4 linked regions of the Rattus norvegicus genome follow. The protein of the gene in region 1 interacts with the protein of each later gene in a pairwise test. Links are inferred from orthologs where the notes say so. Each region holds a gene or a part of one and is shown in the gene's direction. Other genes may lie near its edges. The genes, in order: Mcmbp, Asl, Ddit3 and Prtfdc1.

Region 1 (3,561 bases):
GCACACCACACACCCAGCTAGGGCCTGGCCTTTCACTCCACCATATTGGGTTTTTGGGTTGGTTTGGGATTTGTTTTTGTTTTTGTTTTGTTTTTTGTTTTTTTGTTTTTTGTTTTGTTTTTTTTTGTTGTTGTTGTTGTTGTTGAGACAGGGTGTCTTGGAGCTGTCTTGGAACTCACTCTGTAGACCAGGCTTCCCTTGAACTCAGAGATCCGTCCACCTGCCTCTGCCTCCTGAGTGCTGAGATTAAAGCACCACTACCTGGCAGGTTTTTTGGTTTTTTTTCCCCCCCAAAAAGAAAAGCAAGAAGAAAATTATCTTTCACGTGGGCAACAGTTTTCCCATCTAATACTCGAGCATATTCTTTGGTTTATGTTGTAATGTGGGCCCATCAGTTGTGGTTGAAGCACACACATCCTTACCTGCTTTTTAGATTTAATATTTAGTTAGCCTATCACAATACTTTTTTTTTTTTTCTCTCTTTGAGATAGGTTTTGTTATGTAGTCCTGGCCTAGAATGTTCTATGTAGACCAGGCTGGCCTGGAACTACATCAAGATCCTTCAGCTTCTGTCTCCTGGGTGCTAGGATTAAGGGCATGCCACCATAGTCAGCCTTCTTCCTAAGCTTTCTAATGACCTGATGTTCTCTCATTATAGATTTGTGCCATACTGTAACCATTTCCCAAAACATTAGGATTTTGTACTTTTTTTAATAAATGCTGTGATAGAAAGCATCTTATCTCCTGTCCCCTGGTGGCAGCTAAGATGGCGGGTAATGCTCAGGGTCACATCAGAGCTCTGTCTTGGCTTGACTAGACATCCCTCATGGAAAAGCACGGAACTCAGGAAGTCTGCCGTGCCTGCGTCATAGGCACACTGTTGAAGTGAGATGGTGAGGCAGTGACCACCAGCTCATGTCAGCCAGGCCTAGCCAGTAAATCTGCAAATGTTGTAAAGCACTTCAGGTCTCAGCATTTTGGATAAGGGATGCTCTCCCCATTCCTCAAAGTGGCTATTATTTAACTGCCGTTCTGATAGATAAAAAATGTCTATTTTTACCTTATATGTATGGCTATTTTGTCTGCATATCTGTGCATGCAGTGCCTGTAGAAGTCAGAAGACGGCATCTTCCTAGAACTGGAGTTACAGGCGGTTGTGAGCTATTCCGTGGGCCTGGGACTTGAACCCTGGTCCTCTGGAAGAGCAGCCAGTGCTCTAACTACTAAGCCATCTCTCTGCTTCTGCAAACTTTATAATGATGGCGTCTCAGTATCTTACCCTTGGTTTTGTGTTCTTTCCCTTCTCCTAGGTATACAAGAAGAGATGTACTTCCACTGGGAAAATTTACAGTTAACCTGAGTGGTTGCCCACAGAACAGCACCTTCACGGAACACCTATATCGGATCATCCAACATCTTGTTCCAGCAGTAAGATAATATTATGAAGGCTTATGAGTGGGACAAACCCAATTGTTTTCCACTCACCTTGAGTATTAACTTTATGTTCCTAGTGGGTCTCATTTACAAAGGACAAGACCTGCCAATTGACATAATTTAAAATGCACCCAGCATTCACTGATTGACCCAGCACAAATCTGTAATCTAAAAATTAACGCAGTGGCAGTGACTCCCTTAGAATTACGTTTCCAGTCTGTGTGAGTTTGTTCCTTTGTGTGCATATTATGAAGTGTAAAGAAGCTTTAAATCATAGGAGCCTGGTTCTCTCAGCTGAGGTAATAAAGTGGCCCATCTCCACGCCCCAGGGCTTGTTGCTATCTGGAAGCATCTGGAATGCACATTTGTGTCAGGATCTCAAGGACCGGATTTACTCTGATAACTAAAAATTTTGGCCACTTTGGGACTTAAGAAGTGAAGCCAGGTCCTTCTGAACAGCCTGTCGAGTCTGCACTTCAAGCCCTGCAGAAGCAGCAGAGTCCTGAGGATTTTGAGCCTCTTATTCAGTGGGCTGTGCTTTCACTAATGTCTGACATTAGTAATTAAGACTGAAGACATGTTGAGTAATTCATTAGGAAATAGTGGTAAAACTGACAGTGTCTTGCATTTTGCCGTGCTCTTGAGTGTCTAAATTAATAGACTATTTTGGTTAAAAAAAAAAAAAAAGAGGGGGAATTATTTTATCCCACGCTAGCCGGACCGTAGGACCACATGGCACCTGCAGGATATTCTCATCTCAGTCAGCAAGGGGTCTCGCCCGCTAAGCTCCATCCCATCTCACACTGCCGAGGCTACTCTGAGCCTGGCAGCAGTCTCTCTACCATCTAGTTCCCAAGGCGAGTCTCTGCCATGCCAGTTTCATGCAGAGACCGCCTGTCTCGCAGCTCTCTTCCTGTGGACTCTGCTCACATTCCCAGCATCCACCCCCTGGTCCCAGCAGCAGCTATCCTCTGGTAACGCTCGGCCACTGCTCTGTTTACGTTCCCAACATCTGCCCCCTAATAGTTATGATATAAACTCCCAACCACCCCTTAAAATCAAGACTCAACAAACTGCAACCCAACATCAGATTTATATCTCAGTCCATAATACAATAAACTCACAACCAATTGATAAGGATATAAACTGCCCAACTAGATAAGATAAATTTGCCTACAGAAACCCATCCCAACTCCCTTAGCAATTCAGGACCACCGGGATCTGGGTCATCCTCTGTCTCCATCTTGATTCTCCCTCCTTCTCCTTCTGTCCTGCCTTACAAAAGCTTTGTCCCCACCTTATATTTTACTGTCCAATCGTGGCCTTGACCTAACTGGTGCTGTCCCTCACCTGCATGTAGACATCAACCTACAGGAGACCCCTAGGTTTTCTGTTCTGCTTCCACATTTGCCCCTGCGGTGCTGTTTTTATCTGGTCTGTTTCTTAGCTGAGGTGCATGATCTGAAAGCCTGTCTGTCAGTGGAGTTTGCACATCTCTGTGGTAAAGCCTGTTCTGTCTGTAAACGTGACTCATTCATAGACCCGGAAATAGGATCTTAGCGGTTCCCTAGGCCATGTCTCCTGAGATTGCTTCTCTGTCCTCAGAACTTCCTGGTTTTGAGGTATAAAATCAAATTGCTGGTGTGTGCTTTAAATATTCTCAGCAGAACAGTGAAGCCCTGGAAATGGGATAGCAGACACTGGCATAAGACATATGCCCATCTCTCCAATAGGGTCTGAGACTCAGTCTGGAGCAGAACTGGTGACTGCCTGGGGGGTCATGTCCTCCTACATAGAAAACAGGCAATCTAAGGAGCAGCATGGGCCTGTGTAAGGGATGCCAGCAGAGGCTGGTGCAGTACCACTCTCAGACACAAGATGGCGCCAGAGACCATCTATGTCTCAGCTGTGCAGCCAGGATTACATCTTTACCTGGGGGAGGGAGGGTGGAGGAAAGGGCTTAGAGGGTCTCTTTTCCTTATTTTGCATTTCATTGACTGTCTGCCCTTTCGTCACTCTTAGCACACTGGCCCCAGCCCTTCTCAGTGCTTTTCTCTCTGGAATGGAACATTCAGCTTCTACTGCTTATTACATGTGTCCTGCTTGTGGTTCTGTGGCAAAGCCAAC
Region 2 (4,099 bases), on another chromosome or scaffold:
AAACCTTGCCTGCTTTCCTGGTTAATCTTAACTGTCAACTTGAAACAGCCTAGAATCCTCTAAAGAAGCCTCAATGATAAACTGTCTTTTACCAAGTTGTTCTATGGGCGTGTCCACGAGGGACTGTCCCGATTATTAAATGATGCAGGAGGGTACCGCCTGGCCAACTGATGGTGGCACAGGCCTTTAATCCCAGCACTTGGGAGGGAGAGGCAGGCCTATCTCTGGGAGTTGAAGGATAGCCTGATCGACAGAGCTAGTTCCAGGAAAGCCACGACTACGCAAGCCCCAACACCCCCCCCCAAATAAATAGAAATAAAAAATAAAAGGGATGAGGGGTTATACAGACCGCGGCAGGTGCCACCATCCATGGACTGCTTCATAAAGAAGTTAGAAAACACAGAGAGTAAACCAGAGAGAGTTCTTGAACTGGTCTGAAGCTTCAGTTTCCTGTCTGAGTTCTTGCCCTGACTTCCCTCCATAATGAACTGTGTCCTGGAAGTTTAAGATGTAATAAACCCTTTCTACCCCTAGATTACTTTTGGTCATGGTGTTTGTCACAGTAACTGAAAGAAAACTAGCACAGCCAGTACTTTCACGACCCTGGGTACCAATTTCCAAAAGAACACGGCGATAACGGATGGCGATGCAGGTCAGTGGCAAAGGCTTTGCCTAGCAAAGTCCTGGGTACCATTTCCACCATTACAAAACAATGATGGCGGTGCTGATGGCTGGGGATCTGACTCAGTGGTAGAGTGTTTCCCCGAGCACATGCAGAGCCCACATCACAAGATGATTGTGACTGGCACGCATCTCAGGGTCACACTACTTCCAGAGCACGTGCAAGGTCTTGGGTTTCATTCCCAGAACCAGAAGAAAGAGAAAAAATAAAACCCCTCTCTATCCTTCCAACATTCCCCTCCCCAAAAGATACCGGAGGAGAGCGGGTTCCAACACCAGCAGGGTCCCTCCCCTGCCGCCCCACCTCCATGCACTTCCGGTCCGTGCACCCCGCCCACCCGCCCTGCTCGCGGGTCCGGAGGTCTAGCCGCCAGCCGCCTCACAGTCCCCAGCTGATTCTGCTTTCCCCTGGACGTGTCGCTTACACTTCCATGTTGCCTCTGCCTCGTCGTACACAACCGCTGGAAGAGAAGAACCTCACGTTACGCCAGCTCTGCTCTGCTCACCGTTTCTGTGTGTGTGCCGCAAGGCACTCTGGGACCGCCGTGGTGCATGCCGGGATCGCTGCAGGGCTCGCCCGGATCCTCCTTAATTCTAGGTGTTCCTACCTTGGTCTAATTTCAGCTTGTCGGGTGTTTTCATAGTGTAGGTTTTGTTAGGGTTTGCCTTGGCCACGTTAAAAATCCCTAAACCAGGCATGCAGCCCCACACCTGTAATCCTAGCACTAGAGAGGCCGAGACAGGAGAATTGTCATGAGTTTCTGGCCAGCCTGACCTACCTAATTACTTTCAAGCCATCCGAAGCTGTTTGAGACCTTGTGTTTAAAAAAACAAAAAACAGAAGCCAGGTATGGTCGCACAATCCTCTAATTCCAGCAAGGGGGAAAGAGGGAGGCAGAGAAACCCAGTCTCAAAAGACAGAGACAGAGCTGGAGAGATAGTTTAAGCACTTAGGAGGCTGAGGCAGGGGGAATGCCTTGAGTTTGAAGACAGTCTGGGCAACATGGTGAGTTCTAGTCAATTTAGACTACGTAGAGATCCTTTTCCCCATACAACCGTTAAAATTTGGGATGGGGAAGACAGATTTTCATTACTTAGCCTTTCAAACTCAGAGATCTGCCTGCCTCTGCCTCCCAGTGCTGAGATTAAAGGTGTGAGCCCCCACTGCTCAGCCATGTTAAAATGGTTTGCGGGTGATTGTGTTTGAGTTTTGTTTTGTTTTGTTTTTTGGTAAGTGGGGGGTGGTGTCTGGTATGATGACACATACCTGTAATCCCTCCACTTTGGAGATGGAGGCGAGAAAGTCAGTTTTTCATAATCCTCTTCAGCTACATGGGGAGTTTGAGGCCACCTGAGGCTACATGAGAACCCTGTCTCATAAAAACCAGTGTGTGTGTGTGTGTGTGTGTGTGTGTGTGTGTGTGTGTGTCCCACAATGGTGTTCATGGTGTTAGTCGGTCAACCATCTTACAATGATTGCCTCCCCCCTCAGGCACTGGTGATTCAGACATGAATAATACACACTCTCCATGCTAGCTGAGAACCCAGTAAGGGGACCAGTGCAGGGCATAAATCACTATGACACACTCTGTTTAGACTCTAGCATAGACAGGAGAATGACTAACATGGACAAAGAGGCGTCCCAAAGCCAGGAGTGTTTGAGGTGTGTGGAAAGAGGGTCGTTCAAAGCCAAGGCTTCAGAGATAGACTCATAGAAGACAGGCTACTGCCTTGGAGAGCCCCACCACAAAATGATTCAGAGAGGAAGGAATGCAAGCAGGGAAATCGGCTGGTACCCGTGTTCAAATGGCCTCCACCTAGGCACCTGCGCAGTGAGCTCAACCTGGTTGATAGCCAGTGAATGTCTTCAACTACCTGGCTTTTGTTTTGGGTTTTGTTTGCTTTGACTCAAGGTCTTGAGGAGCCCAGGCTGGCCTCAGGCTGGCTATGTAGCCAAGGATTCCCTCATACTCTCTATCTTCCTGTCTCCACCGCCCAAGCAGTACTGGGGATGCTTGGACAGCACTTTCTCGCTGAGCTGTTTCCCCACCCAGCCTTCCCTTGCCAAGTGTTTATTTTCTTCCCAGGGACTGCAAAGGCAGGTGATTGTCATGTGAGGCTCGGTGGCAACCCTGTTAACCGGTTGTTCATTAATGTGATCCCTCGGCCAGATCTTGGAGAGCTTTCCCAGACAGATGTTAACGTTTGTCCGAGATGCCTAGATGCGAGATGCCTAGATGTGGCGTCTAGCCCTCACACTTCCTGTCTTGGTGTCTTTAGGCAAATTATTCCTTCTCTCCTAGACTCTCCTTTCTTCACCTGGAGGAACTTGGTGATTATCCGAGCCGCCTTTTAGATGTGCTCGTGAGAATTAAAAAAAAAAAAAACTATCCATATAAAATATTTAACACTGTGCCTATAATACTGTTAGAACTCAAGATATTGCCAGGTACACACATGTCAATCCAGCCCTTGGAAGACTGAGGCAGGAGAATGTCAAATTTCTGGCCAGCCTGAACAACACAGTGAATTCAAGTCTAGCTACATAGAGAGTTCTTTCTTGCCTCAACACACACAACAGAGGAAACATTCACGGTTACTGATACTTTTTTATTCCACTCACATAGAGGTGATGCCTCCCTGGACAGTGGTGGCGCATGCTTTTAATCCCAGCACCTAGGAGGTGAGGCAGGCAGATCTGCGAGTTCAAGGCCAGCCTGGTCTACAGAGGGAATTCCAGGATAGCCAGGGTTACACAGAGCCTGTCACAAAAAACCAAAAGAGAGAAAGGAGAGGAGAGGAGCGGAGAGGAGAGGAGAGGAGAGAGAGAGAGAGAATGAATGAATATGATGATGGTGGTGATGATGGTGATGATGTCTCTAGTTAACTCTCCTAAATATTTTTCATTCATTTTGTTTACTTGACTCAGGGTCTTATATAGCCTAGTCCCACCTTGAACTCACCTATGTAGCTGAGGGAGGATTAACCTGGAACTTCTGACCCTGCTTCCACCTCCTGGGGGCTGAGGATCCAGGCACGAGCCGCTATGCGAGCTTTAAGGAGCCTTAAGGAGCCTTGAGAATCAAACTCAGAACTTCACGCATACTAACAAGCACTCTACCAACTGTATCCCTGGGTTTCTCCTAAGTTTGCTTAAACTTTCTCCTTAGGGAAGAACCAGAGCTTGAGGTTTCCTAGGGGGATACTAGCAGGATGAGAGTGAGACTGTCTGTTCTTCTTACTCTGAAAGGGCTCTACTCTGAGCCATGCCAGCAGTCCCTCATTTCATAGATTCTAAGCAAGAGCTCCGTTTCCGAGCTGTGCCAGAAGTCTTAAGCATTTACAAGGCATGCGAGTTTGACTAAAGTCCCACATTGTGTGACACGGGCACTCTAGCAACTACTGCGCATGCTCCCCA
Region 3 (4,140 bases), on another chromosome or scaffold:
GTTCAGCCCACCCCCAACCTCTACTAACAGAAGGGGAAATGAAGGTCTGGAGCGAAGGAGCAGTCTGGCCAAGGACCTGTCACTGTCGCACCATCCAATAGCAACCGGTCTTGGTTCAGTTTCTACTTAGACAAACTCTGGCTTGCCCCTCCCGAGTGTACGACAGACTATGTAATAGGCCACCACATGGCCTCTGTTTTCATGGCACAAAAAATAGGTTTTGCAAGATGTTTTTACTTTTACTCAAGTTTTCTTCACAGTGCTGTTTTTACCTTTACCTATCATTCTTTAATTTACAACTGAGTACGGTAGATTCCTTGGGCAAATTAAACTAGAATGACCCAGTCCAGGCAATCATGCGCTCAAGTGCATGCACGTCCCAGTCTCTAGGTCGTGAACCCAGACACCTAGAGGCATGAGGCCAGCTAATCAGCAGGGAGTCACAGGACTTGCTATCTTGGAGAAGGAAAAGGGTGGGTATTGGGCTTAGTGAAGGGCATAAGAGCATCACACAAAGCAGGGGTAGGATAAGTAGGCAGGAGGCTACACTCTACAAAGAACTTGAATTCTGGCACGCAGTGGACGATTCTGAAACAAACGTTAAAGCTGCCCTTCTGAGAGAAGCGGATGGACTACCAAGGAAATGCCAGTACCTCAGTCTTTGGGAAGCGTTAGAAGGCTAAAAGAGGAGGAGGTCTCTTAAAAGACTCCAGAAGATGTCAATCCAGGTGAACAAATTGGAAACTTTAAAGAGGTTCAAGAGCCTCGGTGCCCATTAGTTGGGAGGGGCCAGGGAAAATGAGTCTTTTATGGAGGAGTAAGTTAAAGGTGATGGGAGGTGGGCAGACAAGTTCAGGAAGGACAGCCGTTGGGGCCGTTGGACACTGTGAGCTGGCGCTCCGCCTTCTTTCCTCTCTCCCCCATCCCCCCCTCCCGCCCGCTCCCCAGCACCTCCCACCACCATCGACGTCTCCTGCGCGTGCGCGCGCGGACACCGGTTGCCAAACATTGCATCATCCCCGCTCCCCCTCCGCCCCCCCCACGTCATCCCCTCCCTCGCCGCACTCTCCTCCGCGCGCGCGCATGACTCACTCACCTCCTCTGCGAAGCCTCGTGACCCAAAGCCACTTCCGGGTCCGAGATAACGTAGACTCTCGAGCCAGAGGGCGCGATGGAGGCGGGGCCACGGGACTCCTGAGTGGCGGACGTGAGGGGTGAGGCGGAGCCTGTGCCAGCGTGCCGCTTTCTGATTGGTAGGCTCCTGGACACTACCCCCCCCCAGGAGGGACCGAATAGCATAAAAGATACTCGCTCTCCGCTCCAGAGGTCAGTATCTTGAGTCTAATACGTCGATCATACCATGTTGAAGATGAGCGGGTGGCAGCGACAGAGCCAAAATAACAGCCGGAACCTGAGGAGAGAGGCGAGTACTGACTCCGTCTACCCCTTACTTTCCCATCCTCGCCAACATAGCTATTCCACAAAGTTAGAGGCAACTGTCCTTGAGGGTGTAGCCCCACCCCTTCCACTGTGAGTTTGTAGACTGAGGGGCGAGTGAAGGCGGGTAATTCCTGATTCGGGAATGGTGCTTACAGGCCACCTCTTTGGGCGATTGCATTCCCGTTCCCTTGTCTCAGGTTGGTCCCTGCTCTGCAAAGGGACTCCGGTTGCCTTCGGAAATTTGTCTCAGTACTGACCATTTGCGGGCCATCTTAGGCCTAGGCGGTTCGCAGGAAAGGTGGGGCAACAGGACACACCCCCCAATGTTGGGGACTCCGGCTGTTAGCACCTCTTCTCCACCAGCCTCATTCCCCCCAACTCTTTCAAGCTGAAGCGCCTCAGGGACCACCAACATGGCCACTTTAGTAGCTGTCTCTAACGTTCAAGACAACTCAAAGACTGACAGATCTTTGCGAGTGGGGGTGCCGGTGGGAGGAGCATAGATGGGTTTTTCCCTTTTCCCCAGAGGTTTCTGGGTTTCCGTACAAGAGAGCAGCCTGGGTCTCTTTAACTATGGGAAATTACTTGGGATCTCTCCAGGGTCTTCTGCTTCTCTTAGGACTGATCTCTGCTTCTTTCCTCAGTCCTGTCTCCCAACTAATCTCTGTAACCGTTGCATCAGGCCAGCCCACTGTTTGTCTCTGCACCCTCAGGCCTGGGGCTCCTCTGCTGATGAAAGCCAGGTCCCACACACTGGAAGACCAAGGAGTTTTCCCTAGAGGACAACCCTGCAGAGAAACACTCAGGGCAATATTGCGTCTGCAGTCCCCAGAGACAGGCAGCTCAGCTCTGCCTTTGGGCTCAGTGGGCTTAGTTGTTCTCTATTCGTTCCTAACAAATGCCTAATAAGCACCCACTATGTGCCAAGCATTTGGGGATCCAGGGTATATTAGAAGCAAAAGACGAAACTGTTCTCAATAAAACTTACATTTCAATGTAAAGCAAAAGGGGGGAAAAACAGAAGCAGGGAAAAAATAGTTCAGGATGGTGGCTAGAGGTTTTATCATTCAGGAATTGCCTCAGTGGGTGGGTGAGATGGAAAGAAGGCAAGCCTGTGAGCCAAGCAGGTAATGTGGAAGAGGTTTATAGAAGGGAGAGAAGGAGCAGAAGGGTTGAGATGAGTGTGCCAGTATCCTTAGGAGCAGGGCAGTGAGCTGGACTAGAGTAAGCAGGAGAGGGTGGTGAATGGAAACTCAAGTAGCAGGTCCTGTAGAGCCTTGCAAGCATTCTCAGGATGCTAGTCTTTCAACAGTCCTGAAACAGGAATCCATTGGGGGATCTGAGCAGAGGAATGTCCTAAATTAAAAGGGTTGGGGAAAGACCCCATGCATTTAATTCCAACACTCAAAGAGGTAGGAGCAGGCAGAGCTCTGAGCTCCAGGCCAGCATAGTCAGATCCTAACTCAAAATAAATACAAAAACAAAGGGTTGAGTGTGTAGCTCAATAGTAGACTGCTTGCCTAGTATGTAGAGGGCCCTAGGTCAACCCGCAGCCATGAAAATAAAAAAGACAAGAATAGAAACAGGAGATCTTAGCTGGAAATAATGGCAAATGCCTTTAACCCCAGCACTTGAAAGGTAGGTAGATCAGAGTTCAAAGCCAGCTAGTCTACAAAGTAAGTTCCAGGACAGCAAAAGCTACACAGCAAGACCCTGTCTAAAAAAAAAAAAAAAAAAAAAAAAAAAAAGATTTCAAGGCTTCCAAAAATAATCTAGGGAATGAAATGCATAATGCATGGTAAGTTTACATCTGGAAATAATGAGAAAAAGTGAGAAATATTTAGGTTTTGGGTACTTCTAAAGAATATTGAAGTTGCCAGTGCTTTAGACTGAGCTGTGGTATCTGAGAAGGGAGGAATTAAGGATACCAAATGTTTGGCTTTAGGCACCTATAGTTGCCATTTAGTAAGAACTGTACCCCCTTGGTAGGAAAGGCCTTTTGTGTAAGCTGAATGCCTGCTCAACAACCAAAAGAGATGGAGATCCCAGGGCAGGTCTGGAGGCTAGGATGGGAATGGAGTTTAAGCAAATACTGCTGAAATCTCTCTTCCCTGTATTTTAGTTCTCACTTTGGCAGATCTGAGGTCTATCTGGATTTAGAGAAAACTTAGTTGGCCAGGACTTTGCTATTATGTAATCAGGACTACAAATGTCAGCAACTAAAAATAAAGTTAAGCATGCCTGTCCTTGGCTTCAGGGACACACACACACACACACACACACACACACACACACACACACACACACACGAGCCTCTCTGTGGCCTGGTCTACAGAGTTGAGTTCCAGAATTCCAGGATGCCCCGGGCTTCACAGAGAAACTGTCTCAAAATCCAATGACAGAAATTAAGAAACCAGCTAGAGAAAGACCAGTAAGAGGCTAGAGGTAAAGGACCTGTTTCTTCCCCTTTCTCCACAGTGTTCCAGAAGGAAGTGCATCTTCATACACCACCACACCTGAAAGCAGGTAATCTTAGCCACCCTCCCAGTCAGCTCCTAATGCTGCTCAACTTGCTTTGCTGGGATGAGAGTTAGACCAGGCCTTGACCAGAACCAGCTTTTGCTGTCAGACCATGTCTTTCTCTGATCCCATAATGTTGTTTTAGAGCTGGCTTGTCTCAAAGTCAGCCTCAAAAATGGC
Region 4 (4,133 bases), on another chromosome or scaffold:
CACATTGATGCAGCCAGCACCAAGCCCAGGGACTAATGTCAGGGAGCCCACACCTTGTACCCCTCTTCTTCCACAGTTCGGCTGCTTAAACATTAACAGCCAAAGTGCTGAGCATGGCTGGTCCACCAAAAATAAGTACAATATTATTACACAATTATTCCAATTCAGGGCAACATGAATTGATAGGTAACTTGTTCCCTTCAAAGCAACACAATCGGTATTCCTCTTGCCAATGTGTGCCAGAAAACGAAAATCGAATAGATCTTTTTGGCACTTGATCTTAGCCAAAGAGTGAAGAAGCCATTGTGTTGAGGCGTGCGCGCGTGTACGTATGCATGTATGTGTGTGTTGCTGTGTTTACAACCCCCGTGGCCTTTCACATCCTAGGCAAATGCTCTATCATTGAGCTATACTCTATCCTAGCAAACATCTTTTGGAGAAGACAGAGTCAAAAGAACTATACCCATGTATACCCTTTATTAAACCCAAAGTGGGCCGTGGGCAGGCTCTGGCAAGATGAGGGAGACCAAGGACTATAAACAGAAAGCAGGACCTTAGAGGAAAGAACAAAGGACCAGGTCGCTGGGCTAGAAGAAACCTGGGATTAGGGGTTGGTTTAACAACAGATTCATAAAACAAGGCTTTCTAATCAGAGCAGAGCAATTGCCTTTAGCTACAACCTAGGACAATTAGAGTAAAATGGTAAATCAGATACAGTATTTTGTAAAAAGTCCCTGCCCTGGGCTCATCGGATCACCAGGATTTGGTCGGAGGAAATGCCGGCTCGTGGCGCTTTCCAACTCCTGGCAGGGCGCCAAGATCTGAAGTCCTCCGGGATACTCCGGCCCACTTCCAAAGCCCAGAACGCGCTGCACTGCCTCTCTTTAATGCATTGACTGGGGACAAATGTGCATTTAAAATCTGGCAGGGAGGAGTCTTGGAAATTGCTGGCCTGGGGGCTGCAGCGATGGGCTTTGAGAAGGAAAATAACAAGGGACGGCTTTCTCTCCAGAACGAATCGCAGGCCTGACCCATATCCCCGCGGGGTGCGGAGCCGGCAAAGGGGCAGGCGGGGGGCCGCCAGGGACGCTCCCCGGAGCGCGCTCAGGTGCATCAGGCGCTGCTCCACAGCTGCTCCCGCGCCGCCCCGGGAATGGGCCTCGACTGTAGCCCCAGCTTTCCCGCCCGCAGGCTGGGGGCGGGGCAGCCCCAGCCACATCCCCCCCCCCCGCCCCCACATCCTCCGGGCGCTGTCCGTCCGGCGTTCCCAGCGAGAGACATGGCCGGGAGCAGTGAGAAGGCGCCAGACTCCGGGCGAGGCGTCGTGGTAAATGCGAACTCCGGATTCCCGGCTCCCTTAGCTCTCTCCCCTCCCCTCTCCTCCCTTCGGGGCACCCCTCCACTCCCGCCCCCCAACCCTTTAGCTGACAAGCGTTCGGGAGAGAACCGGCCAAGGCTTTGTTCCTCCTCCGGGCGGAGACCGCTGGTTTTCTCGCATCCAGGCCTCCCTTCTCCACCCGGTCTGACGAAACTCCTACTAAAATCACTCCTTCATCCAGAGTTCCCAATAACTCCTCCCTTCCCACCCTCCCCGCGGGTTCCTGGCCTGGAAGCCAGCCTCCTACCGGGTCCCCACTTCTGCTATCCACAAGGACTCTAGCCTGCCAGCCGGGGTTTAGGAAGATCCCCAGCACGCAGCTCTAGTGGCCTTCCTTTTAGCACTGCCTCCTCACTTCAGTGAGTTTTGAGTTCTGTTTTGAAAACGGCCACTGAGAACTCACTCTTCAGGGCAGCCAAGGTGCAAAGTAGCGCTAGTGAATGCAATCGGAACTCTGAATCTGGGGCGCGGCTCTGCCGAAGCCAGCAGCTAGAGTGTCCTATGCCTTGTCTGTGACGGAAGACAAACTTGATGTGTGAAAAACCCAGTAGTGTGTCAGGATGGAAGTGGGGCCAGGTCCAAACCTCTTCAACTTCAGGGATCGTTCATTCAGGTGTCAGCCCGAGGGCTCCCAGCTCCCACAATATTGAAATTAAACTCTAGCGGATGGTAGTTGTGAGTCCAGGATGGGGTGAAAAGGTGTGAAGGTGGTGGGCGGGGCTGATTTACCATTAAGATCCTCTTTCCAGAGCTCAGCGTGTAATTCGCAGCTAATCTGTTTATGGAAATGAATGGATTTAATTAGAATGAGTGGGTTGGGAAGGAAACACCTCTCAGTTAAATAGAACTGTTCAGGTTGAAAGGTGGGGCTCAGCTCTCAATTAAACAGCAGGACCTTCCTTCCCTCAAGGAGGAATGCCTTTTGTCTGCCGTGCCAGGTTCTGCTCCTACACCTGGTAACCAGATAAACTCTTCTTCCTGGAACTTGCATTCTGGGAAGGGGCACAGGGAAGCCCTGTGAAAACACAGTCTGGATAGTTCAGCCAGCCATTCCTGGAAAGGGGAGGGGAGCAGTGTCTTTACCCATATGATCAAAGAGTCTGCAGTGACATTTCACCCAAGATCAGAAACAGAAACGGAAGGTAAACCATGTGAGGACCCATGGCACAGAGACACATGTCAAGGGCAGAGAGGAGAACACAGTTTCTGATTTGTGCTTTTACAATAAAAACACTCCAGTCGCTGTGGGTATGATAGACCCGGTGGGAGGGGGTGAAAATATGAAAGATGGGGGTTGGGGATTTAGCTCAGTGGTAGAGCGCTTGCCTAGCAAGCGCAAGGCCCCGGGTTCGGACCTCAGCTCTGGGAAAAAAAGAAAGAAAGAAAGAAAGAAAGAAAGAAAGAAAGAAAGAAAGAAAAAAAGAAAATATGAAAGAGGAAGTCATTAAGCTAACTGCCTCCCAAATGACATCTTTAAGGTTCGCAACCTGAAAGTCATACTTGAAACGACTCCAGAATGTACTAAGGTAGATTTGGAAAACCATTGTCAGGTTAGTTTGGGGGATAAATGAAGAATGGAATAAAATAAACTGGGAGAAATAAAATCAACTGTTAAGAACAAACGCCCGGGGTTGGGGATTTAGCTCAGTGGTAGAGCACTTGCCTAGGAAGCGCAAGGCCCTGGGTTCGGTCCCCAGCTCCCGGAAAAAAAGAACAACAACAAAAAAAAAAAAGAAGAAGAAGAAGGAGTGAAGAACAAACGCCCGGGGGGCTGGGGATTTAGCTCAGTGGTAGAGCGCTTACCTAGGAAGCGCAAGGTCCTGGGTTTGGACCCCAGCTCCGAAAAAAAGAACCAAAAAAAAAAAAAAAAAAAAGAACAAACGCCCGGAACGCCCCCAGATGTGAGAGGCACATGGTGGACACAAAGCCCACCAAGAATGAAGCGCTGGATGGGAGAAAGCAAGCAGGAGAGGAGTCGATGTCTAGGGAACAGTTTGACGGAAGTGGACTAGCCAGGGTCATGAGATCGTCAAGAGTGTCTGATGTTGCCGGAAGAGCAAGTCGGATGGGGATGACCAGAGGCCATTAGTGAGGAGCACCTTTCTTCTTCTTCTTCTTTTTTTTTTTTTTTTTTGGTTCTTTTTTTTTTTCGGAGCTGGGGACCAAACCCAGAGCCTTGCACTTCCTAGGCAAGCGCTCTACCACTGAGCTAAATCCCCAACTCGAGGAGCACCTTTCAAATAGCCACCTCGTGGCCAGTCTACTTACAGTACCACGGCAATGTGGAACGCCTTTCAAATTGTGAAATCTAGAGTGCCACTGTACCATAGATGCTAGATGCTTCCAAAGTCAAGTGGCACAATCCAGCTTGAGGTGTAGCTCATATAAAACCCATCCCCATCACCACAGATTATTAAAAATCAAAAGGAGATAAATCTAGATGTACTCATAGGATGCTTAGATTACTAAAGTCTAAAAAGCCTAAAATGAGAAAAACTGTAAACACAATATTCCTATCTATTTGTGTCTACAGAGGCCTTATGAAGGACCCATGGGCATAGCAAGAGGTCAATAAGGAGAGAAGAAGCTAGAGTGAGGCTTGGGCACTGTGAGTAGTTGCTGAACTGCCCAAGTGCCCCCTAACGTTGACGATAACCAGTGTATGACAGAAACACCCTCTGCATATGTTAATTTCTCCAATAAGACTTAGTAAAATTCGAAGGAAATTCAGGTGCTGAAGAAAGGAAAGGGTTAG

What was found.
Region 2: the proteins of Mcmbp (region 1) and Asl interact in binary tests that used the Homo sapiens proteins (3 or more experiments, as listed by UniProt). The two-hybrid records come from large-scale screens. The link is inferred for Rattus norvegicus from reciprocal best matches to the Homo sapiens genes MCMBP and ASL.
Region 3: the proteins of Mcmbp (region 1) and Ddit3 interact in binary tests that used the Homo sapiens proteins (3 or more experiments, as listed by UniProt). The two-hybrid records come from large-scale screens. The link is inferred for Rattus norvegicus from reciprocal best matches to the Homo sapiens genes MCMBP and DDIT3.
Region 4: the proteins of Mcmbp (region 1) and Prtfdc1 interact in binary tests that used the Homo sapiens proteins (3 or more experiments, as listed by UniProt). The two-hybrid records come from large-scale screens. The link is inferred for Rattus norvegicus from reciprocal best matches to the Homo sapiens genes MCMBP and PRTFDC1.

Annotation. Positions count from the first base shown.
Region 1 is NC_086019.1:192,709,327-192,712,887, reverse strand, and holds part of Mcmbp (mini-chromosome maintenance complex-binding protein), read left to right. Parts: intron 1-1,310; coding exon 1,311-1,428; intron 1,429-3,561. UniProt on the Homo sapiens protein: Associated component of the MCM complex that acts as a regulator of DNA replication.
Region 2 is NC_086030.1:32,294,640-32,298,738, forward strand, and holds the start of Asl (argininosuccinate lyase), read left to right. Parts: upstream 1-1,268; 5' UTR 1,269-1,529; intron 1,530-4,099.
Region 3 is NC_086025.1:65,000,370-65,004,509, forward strand, and holds the start of Ddit3 (DNA damage-inducible transcript 3 protein), read left to right. Parts: upstream 1-1,325; 5' UTR 1,326-1,360; coding exon of another isoform or gene 1,361-1,423; intron 1,424-3,918; coding exon of another isoform or gene 3,919-3,960; 5' UTR 3,961-3,966; intron 3,967-4,140. Other genes in the region: uncharacterized LOC128125814 homolog, read left to right, coding at 1,361-1,423, 3,919-3,960. UniProt on the Homo sapiens protein: Multifunctional transcription factor in endoplasmic reticulum (ER) stress response. Plays an essential role in the response to a wide variety of cell stresses and induces cell cycle arrest and apoptosis in response to ER stress.
Region 4 is NC_086035.1:88,559,888-88,564,020, reverse strand, and holds the start of Prtfdc1 (phosphoribosyltransferase domain-containing protein 1), read left to right. Parts: upstream 1-1,279; coding exon 1,280-1,327; intron 1,328-4,133. UniProt on the Homo sapiens protein: Has low, barely detectable phosphoribosyltransferase activity (in vitro). Binds GMP, IMP and alpha-D-5-phosphoribosyl 1-pyrophosphate (PRPP). Is not expected to contribute to purine metabolism or GMP salvage.